2 linked regions of the Drosophila melanogaster genome follow. The protein of the gene in region 1 interacts with the protein of each later gene in a pairwise test. Each region holds a gene or a part of one and is shown in the gene's direction. Other genes may lie near its edges. The genes, in order: Hmt-1 and CG8746.

The links.
Region 2: the proteins of Hmt-1 (region 1) and CG8746 interact in a two-hybrid assay, tested with the Drosophila melanogaster proteins (one large-scale study listed by BioGRID).

The regions. Positions count from the first base shown.
Region 1 is NT_033777.3:15,853,364-15,859,515, reverse strand, and holds Hmt-1 (heavy metal tolerance factor 1), read left to right. Parts: upstream 1-2,045; 5' UTR 2,046-2,186; intron 2,187-2,562; 5' UTR 2,563-2,578; coding exon 2,579-2,878; intron 2,879-2,933; coding exon 2,934-3,133; intron 3,134-3,193; coding exon 3,194-3,519; intron 3,520-3,582; coding exon 3,583-3,987; intron 3,988-4,050; coding exon 4,051-5,420; 3' UTR 5,421-5,648; downstream 5,649-6,152. Other genes in the region: CG31183 (uncharacterized protein), read left to right, coding at 1-1,185.
Region 2 is NT_033778.4:8,790,524-8,794,304, forward strand, and holds CG8746 (uncharacterized protein), read left to right. Parts: upstream 1-2,109; 5' UTR 2,110-2,226; coding exon 2,227-3,216; 3' UTR 3,217-3,250; downstream 3,251-3,781.

The DNA.
Region 1 (6,152 bases):
CGTTTGGCACTGGCCCTCTTGGAGGCGGTGCACAATTTCCGCATCCACCATCGTCCGGAGGATCGGTTGAAGCTAAGGATAGGCCTGCACACCGGTGCCTGTGTGGCCGGAGTGGTGGGCCTGAAGATGCCACGCTACTGTCTGTTTGGTGACACTGTGAACACTGCCTCCCGAATGGAGTCCAATGGTGAAGCGCTCAAGATCCACATAAGTGAGACCACAAAGGAGGCGCTCGACGAGTTCGGCACCTTTGTGACCACACGCCGCGGATTTGTGCCCATGAAGGGCAAAGGTGAGATGCTGACCTACTGGCTGGAGGGCGAGGTACCCCGCCCCAACTCCCTGATCTCGCCCAGCAAGCTGATGCTCACGCGTCGCTCCTCACTGAAACAACCGCAGCGCAGCCAATCGCATAATCTTCACAAGCAGTACTCCGAACTAGTGGTGGCCTCGCCACCACCCCAGTTACCGCCACCTGCGATCGCTCTGCCACCGCCACCGTCGCCGTCCAAGGATTCGCCCAATCTCCGCGTGAAACGCAAGATCAGCTCCAGTTCACCCAAGCTGAATGGCGGCGGCTTTGACTATCACAAGACTGAGAACCACTATCTGGATACGGCGGCGGCTGCCCAGAGGAACTGCGACATCTACAGCAGCCGCAGTCTGAGGGACATGGAGGAAACCTCCGATAGCTGGGAGCTGGCACACTTCCGGCTGCCGCTGAGCGGAGCACTCAAGAGCCACCATCACCTCAATAACAATAGCCACGGCTATGTGCACTCGAATTCCAGCTCCAATCTGAGCGGTATCCTGCAGCCGCCGCCACTGGGTGTCCAACGCACCCGGCTGAAGCCCTCGCCCACGATCTCAACGCTGCTGACAAGCGCCAGGAGTGAGGCCAATGCCTCCCCAGGCCCCGAAACGGGCAGCATGGGCAGTGGGCAGCTGAGGATCAAGTTTGCTGAAGGAGACGAGACCCCACTGCTGCCCACACCGCCGCCGCTGGCTGCTCCTCCACCGATTCCACAGATGGTGGCCGCCAGTCCGCAACGGAGCGGCAGTGGCCAGAACATTCCGGCGGACAGCAGCCACTACGGCTTCCTGGTGAAGAGCTACAAGCAGCAGTGCCCACCGGTGGCGGGCAGTGCCGTCACCCAGCCACTGCTGGCCAAGATCAACTCATAGCTGTATGGGGGGGAGTCGACTCCCTCTTCACTGTAATCATATGCATATTAAATGTACTTGTTTGTGATAATAAGTTAAACCCAAGTTGAACAAGTTAGTGGTTAGTCAATAGTCGACCGAATCAAATTCGAAATTCGTACGGGAAATCTTCTAAAATGTTTCCTAGGTTTTAATCGCCCCATCCCCTTACTCATAAGTAGCGAATTTTATATTTAACCAAACCTCAAATTAAACAAAAATAAAAACAAAAAAGGCAACTCTAGATGTAAATAGAAACTTACTCCCAATCAATTTGTTCCTTGTGCTTTGAATATTCATTCTCTACAAACTCAAAAACTTAGCTTAGTTATTACCTAAGGTTAAGCGTAGACAATTTGTGAAAATTTCTTGAATGTAAAGTATTAGATGAACATTGAATATTTATTTTGAGAATTGACGAATAAAGAAATCTATATAATCTGTATATTTTACCCGCAGTATGTCGAAATAGGGTTTTAAAAACAAGGAATATTGAAATAATCACAATTTCTGATAAGATGGTGTGTTGAAAACCAGGAATGGTAAAGTAATCGCAAATTCTGATAAGAAAATGGTTTGAAAACTGGGCGCCAAGCTGAAAACCAGGGCTGAAAGCTAGCGTGACCGTTTCCAGAAAATTTGTTACCTTCAATTTGATAAGAGAATTACTTTAAACCTTTGATAGCTTAAAATTAAATCACTTAAACAAACTCTCCCTGAATTTATTATAGCAATCGAAAATGTTATATATTAAGCTATGTTCATTTAAATGAATCTCACCTGTTTCCACTGTACAATGTGTATGTGGTATGTTGTGTGTAAGCAGAAACGGCCATACCGAACCCTTGGGTCAAAATTATTTATGTTGATCGTAGTTGGTGGTGATTGGGTCGGAGTTGCCCGCCAGTTGTCCATTAGTTGAGTTATCACCTGTCACACGACTGATTGCGGTGTTTCCACCAGATCGCGACTTCTTATAGCGGGTAAGAGGGGAGCACTAGACCCGCCGGCGAATCGAGCATACGCAACATTGCATAATTTAGCATATCCAATGGGCTGGATGAGTTGCAGTTTCCACGGTTGCCGGACTCCAGGGTATTTCGGATCTCTTGGTGCCGTGCTGCAAGGGCACCAATTATCAATTCACAATCTGCACTCCGCTTACCCGGAGGAAAAAAATAGTGATTTCCCCTTTGGGGGCGTCTGATAATTTGGGTGAATAATTGCGAAATTGCCGCCAGCCCATAAAACAAAGCAATTGTGTTCACCGAGCTGTTTCCCAGTGACAGCTCCACTTTATCTGGCACGTTTCTATCAGAGCTTATCGTTCCGCAATTGCCTTTCCTCGTCGCCGCGCAGGTACACCGACTTCACCATGCTGTACTGCCCGCCCAACGTGACCCTCAGCGAGGTGTGGACGCAGCATGGCATCTCGCATTGCTTCATGGACACCGTGGGACCGGCGGTATACGGTGGATTCCTTCTGCTCTTCGGCAGCATTCAGTTGCTGATGTACCGGAAGTATGCCACCAGGATTACGGATCCCACGCAAATCTCCAAGTCACGACTGTTCGCGATGCAACTCTTTCTGTTGCTCCTGCTCCCGGTTTTGGCTCTATTGCGGTTTCTGATGAATGCACGTATTTATCCAGATAGTGCGGTGTACGGCTATATGGTAAGTATGAAAATGATCAAGAAGAAACAATTACTGATCGAAATCTTTTCTGCAGATCTTCTCCACTTGCGTTGTGTGCTTCTCCTACCCGTTCAGCATCTGTTTGATACTCAAGGAGCGCTACTACCAGCTGCCCTCAATGCCCACCCGAGGACATGGACTTGTTCTATTGCTATTCTGGACGTTGGCTTTCATTAACGAGTCGCTGGCCTTCATAAATTTGCGCCACGAGGACTGGTGGTTCCACCTAAAAACGTAAGTAATGCAAACGGCTGTAAAACGGATAATCTATAGTACCGCCTTTACTACTCGCAGGAACAAGGATCAAATTGAGATGGGCTTGTTTGTCACCCGGTTCCTGTGCTCCCTGCTCATCTTCGTTTTGGGTCTGAAAGCTCCTGGCATCATGGCCCCGTACAATCCACATCAGCGGCTGGACAATGATACCGCCAACGAATCGCAGGGAAACGTGCAGACAGGATCTGCTTTCAGGAACGGATGGCGCAAGCTGCGCACCGTCTTTCCGTACCTCTGGCCTAAAAAGAATATTGCTCTGCAGATAGCCGTCATCGTTTGCATTATACTGCTGCTTGCCGGTCGAGTCATAAAGCTGTTTTTGCCGATTTATCGCAAGAAGTTGGGTAGGTCAAGAATTATGAACGTAATTCGTTAAGTAATTCATTGCTAATCTCCTGTTTCGACAGTTGACAGTCTTACCATTGCACCGATCGTCTTTCGCTGGGACTTTGTGCTGATCTATGTGGCATTGTCCTTCCTCCAGGGTGGCGGCACTGGTAGCATGGGATTATTTAATAACCTTCGCACCTTCCTCTGGATACGGGTTCAACAGTACACGACCCGGGAGATCGAGATTGAGCTGTTCCGGCATCTGCACCAGCTTTCGCTTAGATGGCACTTGCAACGCAAAACGGGAGAGGTGTTGCGTGTCATGGATCGCGGCACGGACTCGATCAACAACCTCCTCAACTATATTGTCTTCTCGATCGCACCAACCATTCTCGATCTACTCGTTGCCGTGGCATACTTTGTTTACGCCTTCAATTGGTGGTTTGGCCTAATCGTCTTCCTCACCATGTTCCTGTATATAGGTAAGTGATAAAAATTATTCGATTAATTCCATTCGTATTTCAAAATATCCTTCCGTTTTACAGCCTCTACCATTGCAATCACTGAATGGAGAACCAAGTACCAGAGGAGAATGAACCTGGCGGACAATGAGCAGCGAGCTCGCAGCGTGGACTCCCTTCTCAATTTCGAAACAGTCAAGTACTACGGAGCGGAGCACTACGAGGTGGATTGCTACAGGGAGGCCATTCTCAAGTACCAAAAGGAAGAGTTCCTCTCAATGCTGACACTCAACATGCTGAACACAGCCCAGAATATTATTTTGTGCTTGGGCCTACTGGCCGGATCGCTGCTCTGTGTATACTTGGTAGTTCACCATCAAACCCTCACCGTGGGCGATTTTGTGCTCTTCTCCACCTATCTGATGGAATTGTACATGCCACTGAATTGGTTCGGCACCTATTACCGAGCCATACAGAAGAACTTCGTGGACATGGAGAACATGTTCGATCTGCTGAAAGAGGAGGAAGAGATTGTGGATGCCCCAGGCTGTTCGCCCCTTCTAACTGCCGGCGGTGGCATTGAGTTCTCAAACGTGACCTTTGGCTATTCACCGGAGAAGATAGTGCTGCGCAATGTGAGCTTCACAGTTCCGGCCGGTAAGACGGTAGCGATTGTTGGACCCTCTGGAGCCGGTAAGAGCACCATCATGCGGCTGCTTTTCCGCTTTTACGATGTGCAGACTGGTGCTATCCTGATTGACGGACAAAACATCAAGCTTGTGCAGCAGCAGAGTCTGCGAAAGGCCATTGGAGTGGTGCCCCAGGATACGGTTCTCTTTAACAACACCATCTTCTACAACATTGAATATGCCAAGTTGGGCGCTTCGGACGAAGCTGTCTATGAGGCTGCTCGCGCCGCCGACATTCACGAAAGGATTCTCGGCTTTCCGGAGAAATATGAGACAAAGGTGGGCGAACGAGGTCTGCGGCTCAGTGGAGGTGAAAAGCAACGCGTAGCCATCGCCAGAACGCTTCTTAAGGCGCCCATTATTGTGCTCCTGGATGAAGCCACCTCAGCTTTGGACACCCACACAGAACGCAATATTCAGGCTGCTTTGGCCAGGGTGTGCGCAAATCGTACCACCATCATTGTTGCCCATCGTCTTTCCACCATCATCCATGCGGACGAGATTCTGGTCCTGCAGCAGGGAAGCATAGCGGAGCGTGGGCGACACGAAGAGCTTGTGCTGCGCGAAGATGGCATCTACGCGGACATGTGGCAACAGCAACTCAAGAATCTAGATGCAGAACAGAGTGGTGGTTCTGATAACGGAGACGCTAGTGCAGAATCGGGATCGGAGAAACGCAGGGCAGGAGGAGCAGGAGGACCAAGTGGTACTGGAACGGGTGGTGCCCACTTCAGGGCAGGACATGCTCATGGGGGAGCACGCTAGCCTTAAGTGACATACAGAGTAGTTTCTGATATTCCTGATTCCATGTGATTTGTGGTGTATTGTTATACGTATGAGAGCAGCTCGTCAAAGTCTTAGTTCGTCTATAAGTAACCTTATATGCTACTCTTATACTAATAAATAACGTAGATTTTTATAGACAATCCGCGAGATTTAATATAATTTAAATGTGTCTGGTACCAAATAAATAGCGCAATATTGTGTATTTCTAGTCCTTATTAAATTATTAAGTCTTGAAGGGATACGAAATTGTCCTTGGGAATATTGTAAGATAATGTTATGCAAGATATCTTAAAATCCTCTAAACAGAATGTATCAGATTTGAGAATCCGTTTTCTGGTCCGTAAGACGTTGTTCCAGTGGACGCGGCAAAAATCTATTTATAGGACATTTCCCAAGAGATCGTAAGAGAGCCCAGCTGCCAAGCTGCTCTTCGCAGCATGATTCTTATCAACGAAACCTCCAGCAAGGCCAACCATCCGGCTGTTATGTCCGCTCAGTTTGAGCTTGGATCGCGAACAGAGCGGACGTGTCGAGCTGTGATCCGGGAATTAGACGCGTTGGCGATAAAGGAGGAAAAGCGTCGGCTTCTTTGAAAAATCTGATAATATACAGTCGCGTTGATATATATATTATATATAATATATATACATATATTCACTGATACTACATTGAGAAATCTGTGCGCGAAGTGAAAAGCGTCGGAAGATCTGT
Region 2 (3,781 bases), on another chromosome or scaffold:
GAACACCGCACGCAGAAGCAGATGGAGCTGGAAAAGGAGGCGGTGGCGGAGATGCAGGATTCTCCGAATCCGGGGAAGAATGCAGGAGGAGTCTAACAATGGACGGGCAGAAATCTCGTCGCCAGCGTCGCTAACAACTCGTAGCATTGCAGCTGCCAGATGTGGTAAGAATAGAGATGTGACGCGGAGTGGGTGGGTGGTGGTTGGATGGTTGGGTGGTTTGTGTGGTTTGGGTGGTTGGGGTTGTTGGTGCAGGGAGGGGCAGGTCGAGAGCAACATTTATTGTTTGCAAAGCCTTGTTTATTATTTTACGTGCATTTCTCTTGCCAGCTTCAGATCCAGAGCTTCAGCCTCGGCAAGGACTCTTTATGATTCACTCGGTCGCTCCTTTTGGTCGAGGACATTTTGTAAATAGCAATGCAGTGGCCCGGCCGCCTGACTTGGCCCAGGATTCGCCCATCCCATCCCCCTCCTCGAGTGGCGGCAGCGATTTTATTCACTCGCCGCTGTTTATGTGACCCGGATCATCCAGGCTCCCGGGCTGGTGCACCTCGCCTTGGTCCTGGTCTTATTTTTGGTCCTGCTCCTTGGCCCTCGATGCGGTTGCTTTATGTTTTTAATGCCGTGCGCCAAAAGTCCTATTGTTTGTACACTTGTACTTTATGTACCGAGCGAAATTTATGCGCCGCTAAGTGGATTCGTGGATTCTTGGATTCTTGGATGCTTGGATTCTTGGATGCATGGATGCTTGGAAATCGCGGATCCGAGGACTTCACCCCGCACCGGCATCTTGGCTCTCTCGTTTCCGGTTCCAGCATTGTTGCCTGCCAAGCAGGAAATGCAATCCTCGCCATCCATAAAACTTGTCCAAAATCTGGCGAGCTCCAGCCTTCGCTCAGGATCTCGGCTTTAAGGACGAGAGGGCATTACAATTATCCTGCGCGTGTCCGAGTCCTTGACTGCCTCCTCATCCGTCCATTTATTGCGCCGTCGAAGTAGGACAAGAAATTTGCGTTTGCACGGAATGAAAGTTGGCCTTTCGCAGCACCTCAATGAGCATAAAGTCGTAGCAAGTGCAAATCCTCCATTAACACTGGGACACAACGAAGCGAAACAGCACGACGCAAATCTTGGTGGTCCTGGGAGTCGGCGAAAAGGACAGAAAGGTGATTTCTGCTGCTAATTGGAAATCGAGGGGAGCGGACGGACGACCGGATGAGATAGAAACTGACCCGCCCAAGAAGAGTCACAAATGTTTGTTCTTTTGCAGGAAATTAAGGCGAAATGTAACAATCGAATTAGGCCGAGTTCGAGGGCAAAGGACACGGGTCAGATCCAGAATCCAGCAACCACCCCCCGATGCAAAATGATGGTGAAACCGATTTGCCACGTTTCGTTGGCGTCGGCATTTAAGAAGGCCCGAAACAACCGTTTGACCTTCAGTGCGGGCCCCAAACTTCAAATTGATTTTTCATATTCATTGGCATCGGGCTCAAAGCGATGGAGTGGGCTTGTGGACAGGAACAGGGACCAGCAATTCTCATAAATTAAACATGCTCCACATAAACTAAAGTGAAAAATGCGAGGGCAACGCAAAAAAAGGGGGGAAACCAAGCATTTAACTGTATATTTGAAATATTTTAAATATAAATTTCAATATTTAACTGCGCCCGCCGACAGGAAACGGTCGCAGGACAGCACGGCAACAACTACGGATACGGAATCGGAATATGGGAGCGGAAAAGGGACTCGGGGGGCAGGGACACAAGCCAGGAGAGCGGAAATGATCCATCGACCCTCGTGCTGTCGTCCCAAAACGGCCATGGGTCCACAAAAAAAAAAGGTTTCCTCTGCCGCAGTTCGTTCGTTCGGTTCAAACCACAAAAACGTTGAAAATATTTGTGTTTCCACTTATTTGCATTAATGCCACGAACCGATTTACTGTCTGTCCATCTGAGGTCGGTGGGCGGCGGTTGGTGGTCGGTGGGCGGGATTGTGGACTCGGCCCCCAAAAAACACACACAAAACACAACCATCGAGTGCCGAACATGAGGTCAGGCCAATAAATAAGTGTGACTTTAGTTGGCATCCCGTCCCCTTTCATTTAGACTTCTATCTGCCATTTGGCTAGTGCTTTTTTAGATTTCATGGAAAATAAATCAAATTATTGGCAATGTATGAGGCCCCTTGAAACAAAACCAAATTTTTAGTGTGAGCAACAGCGAAATGGCGAATTCGAAATCGTTAAAATCAAGCAACTGGCCCGGCATACTGGACTCCAGGACCGCATTGCGAAAGTACTTCGCACCGCCACCCATAGCGGCCGGAGCGCAGGAGAGACATACGACTTACTCTCCCCCAAACTTTGTGGGAGCTGAACCCATGCAGCAACCCAGAATGAACTCCGCCTGGCAATTGGCCAGCGATCCCTCTGGTCTCTCGGAGTTCCGTATTCCGAAGCGGATCAAGGGATTGAAGGATCGTGAAAGAAAGAAGCTGGAACGGAAGGTTTGGGCCAGGCCGGCAAGGATCGATGTAACCAAGAGAGCTGCCAAATTGGGAGCTATAAACATCGAAAAGTTGCAGAAACAGGATCAGGTGGAGTCGCCTCCAAAGTCGAGATCACCAGCTAAGAAGGAGCGAAAGAAGGTCAAGAAGCAATCGTCACTGCTTCGGAAGAGGCCCACCAAAATATTTTCCCACTCTGGCTTCCCGCGGCGCAGGAACATCCTGGTCGTGGACGCCAAGAGGTCCCCAGGAATGGCACACCTAGCTGGTGGAGCGGATCAACCTCTGAAAAGCACTTCACCTGGACGGGAGGGAGACGTCTACCGTCCGAGAATCAAGATGAGTGGCCGGTCCAAAAAGACCTACACCGTGCCCCTGTGCAGCCGGCCCACCGAGATAATAGGCACGCGCCTTCCCTACTCCCGCCAGATGCAGATGCGCCAGGAGAAGCTCTGTCAGCAGCCGGAGTACTACGACCAGTATATCCGCATGCTGCACCAGCAGCAGCGTCACCAGCAGATGTGCCAGCACGAGCAGCAGAAGCAGGACTTTGCCCGTCAGAGGTACCATGTGACCCAACACCCCTACTCCATCTTGCCACACGCCATGTCCGAGGATCAGCAAAACTTGTACTCCGTGCCCTCCAAAACGCCACTCAAAAGATTAAGGGGCGGCAAGCGGCTGTGTGGCAACTTTTACTACGACTAGAAATGTGATCAATAAACAAGTTGCAGAACATATTATAAGGCATTGATATTAAGGAAAAAGCGGGGAATGATTTTCTAAATTTATTATCCGAATCTTCGCATTCATATCATATGAATCGCTTATGTTAGGAGTTGGTGGGCATTTGTCATACTTTTTTGTCAGGCGGAAAACTATCTGTCAATAATGCCATGACTGATCACCGTATATATGTAATTATGGAAAAATGTATGAAGAGTATTCTATATACTAATAAATATTTTTATATATCAAGTGAGGGCTACGTCTTTAGGCCAATTACATGAATTCCTATCCCGCACGCACTCGCCGAACTGACCTGTTTAGCACCTGGCCTGCTCCCTTCCACCTTTCCATGGACGTTTGCCCTTCAGTGACCTGAGAACTTTCCGGTATTTAATATACTCGAAAGTACTTGGGGTGGAGTGGTGGAGGCCATTGGGCTGGCTGGTTCCTTGGTGAGATGTGGGCGATGGTGGCCTCTGCACGCAGATACAATTAAAATCGAAACGAGCCAACAATGCAAACTGGCGAACAAACAGGCAAACAG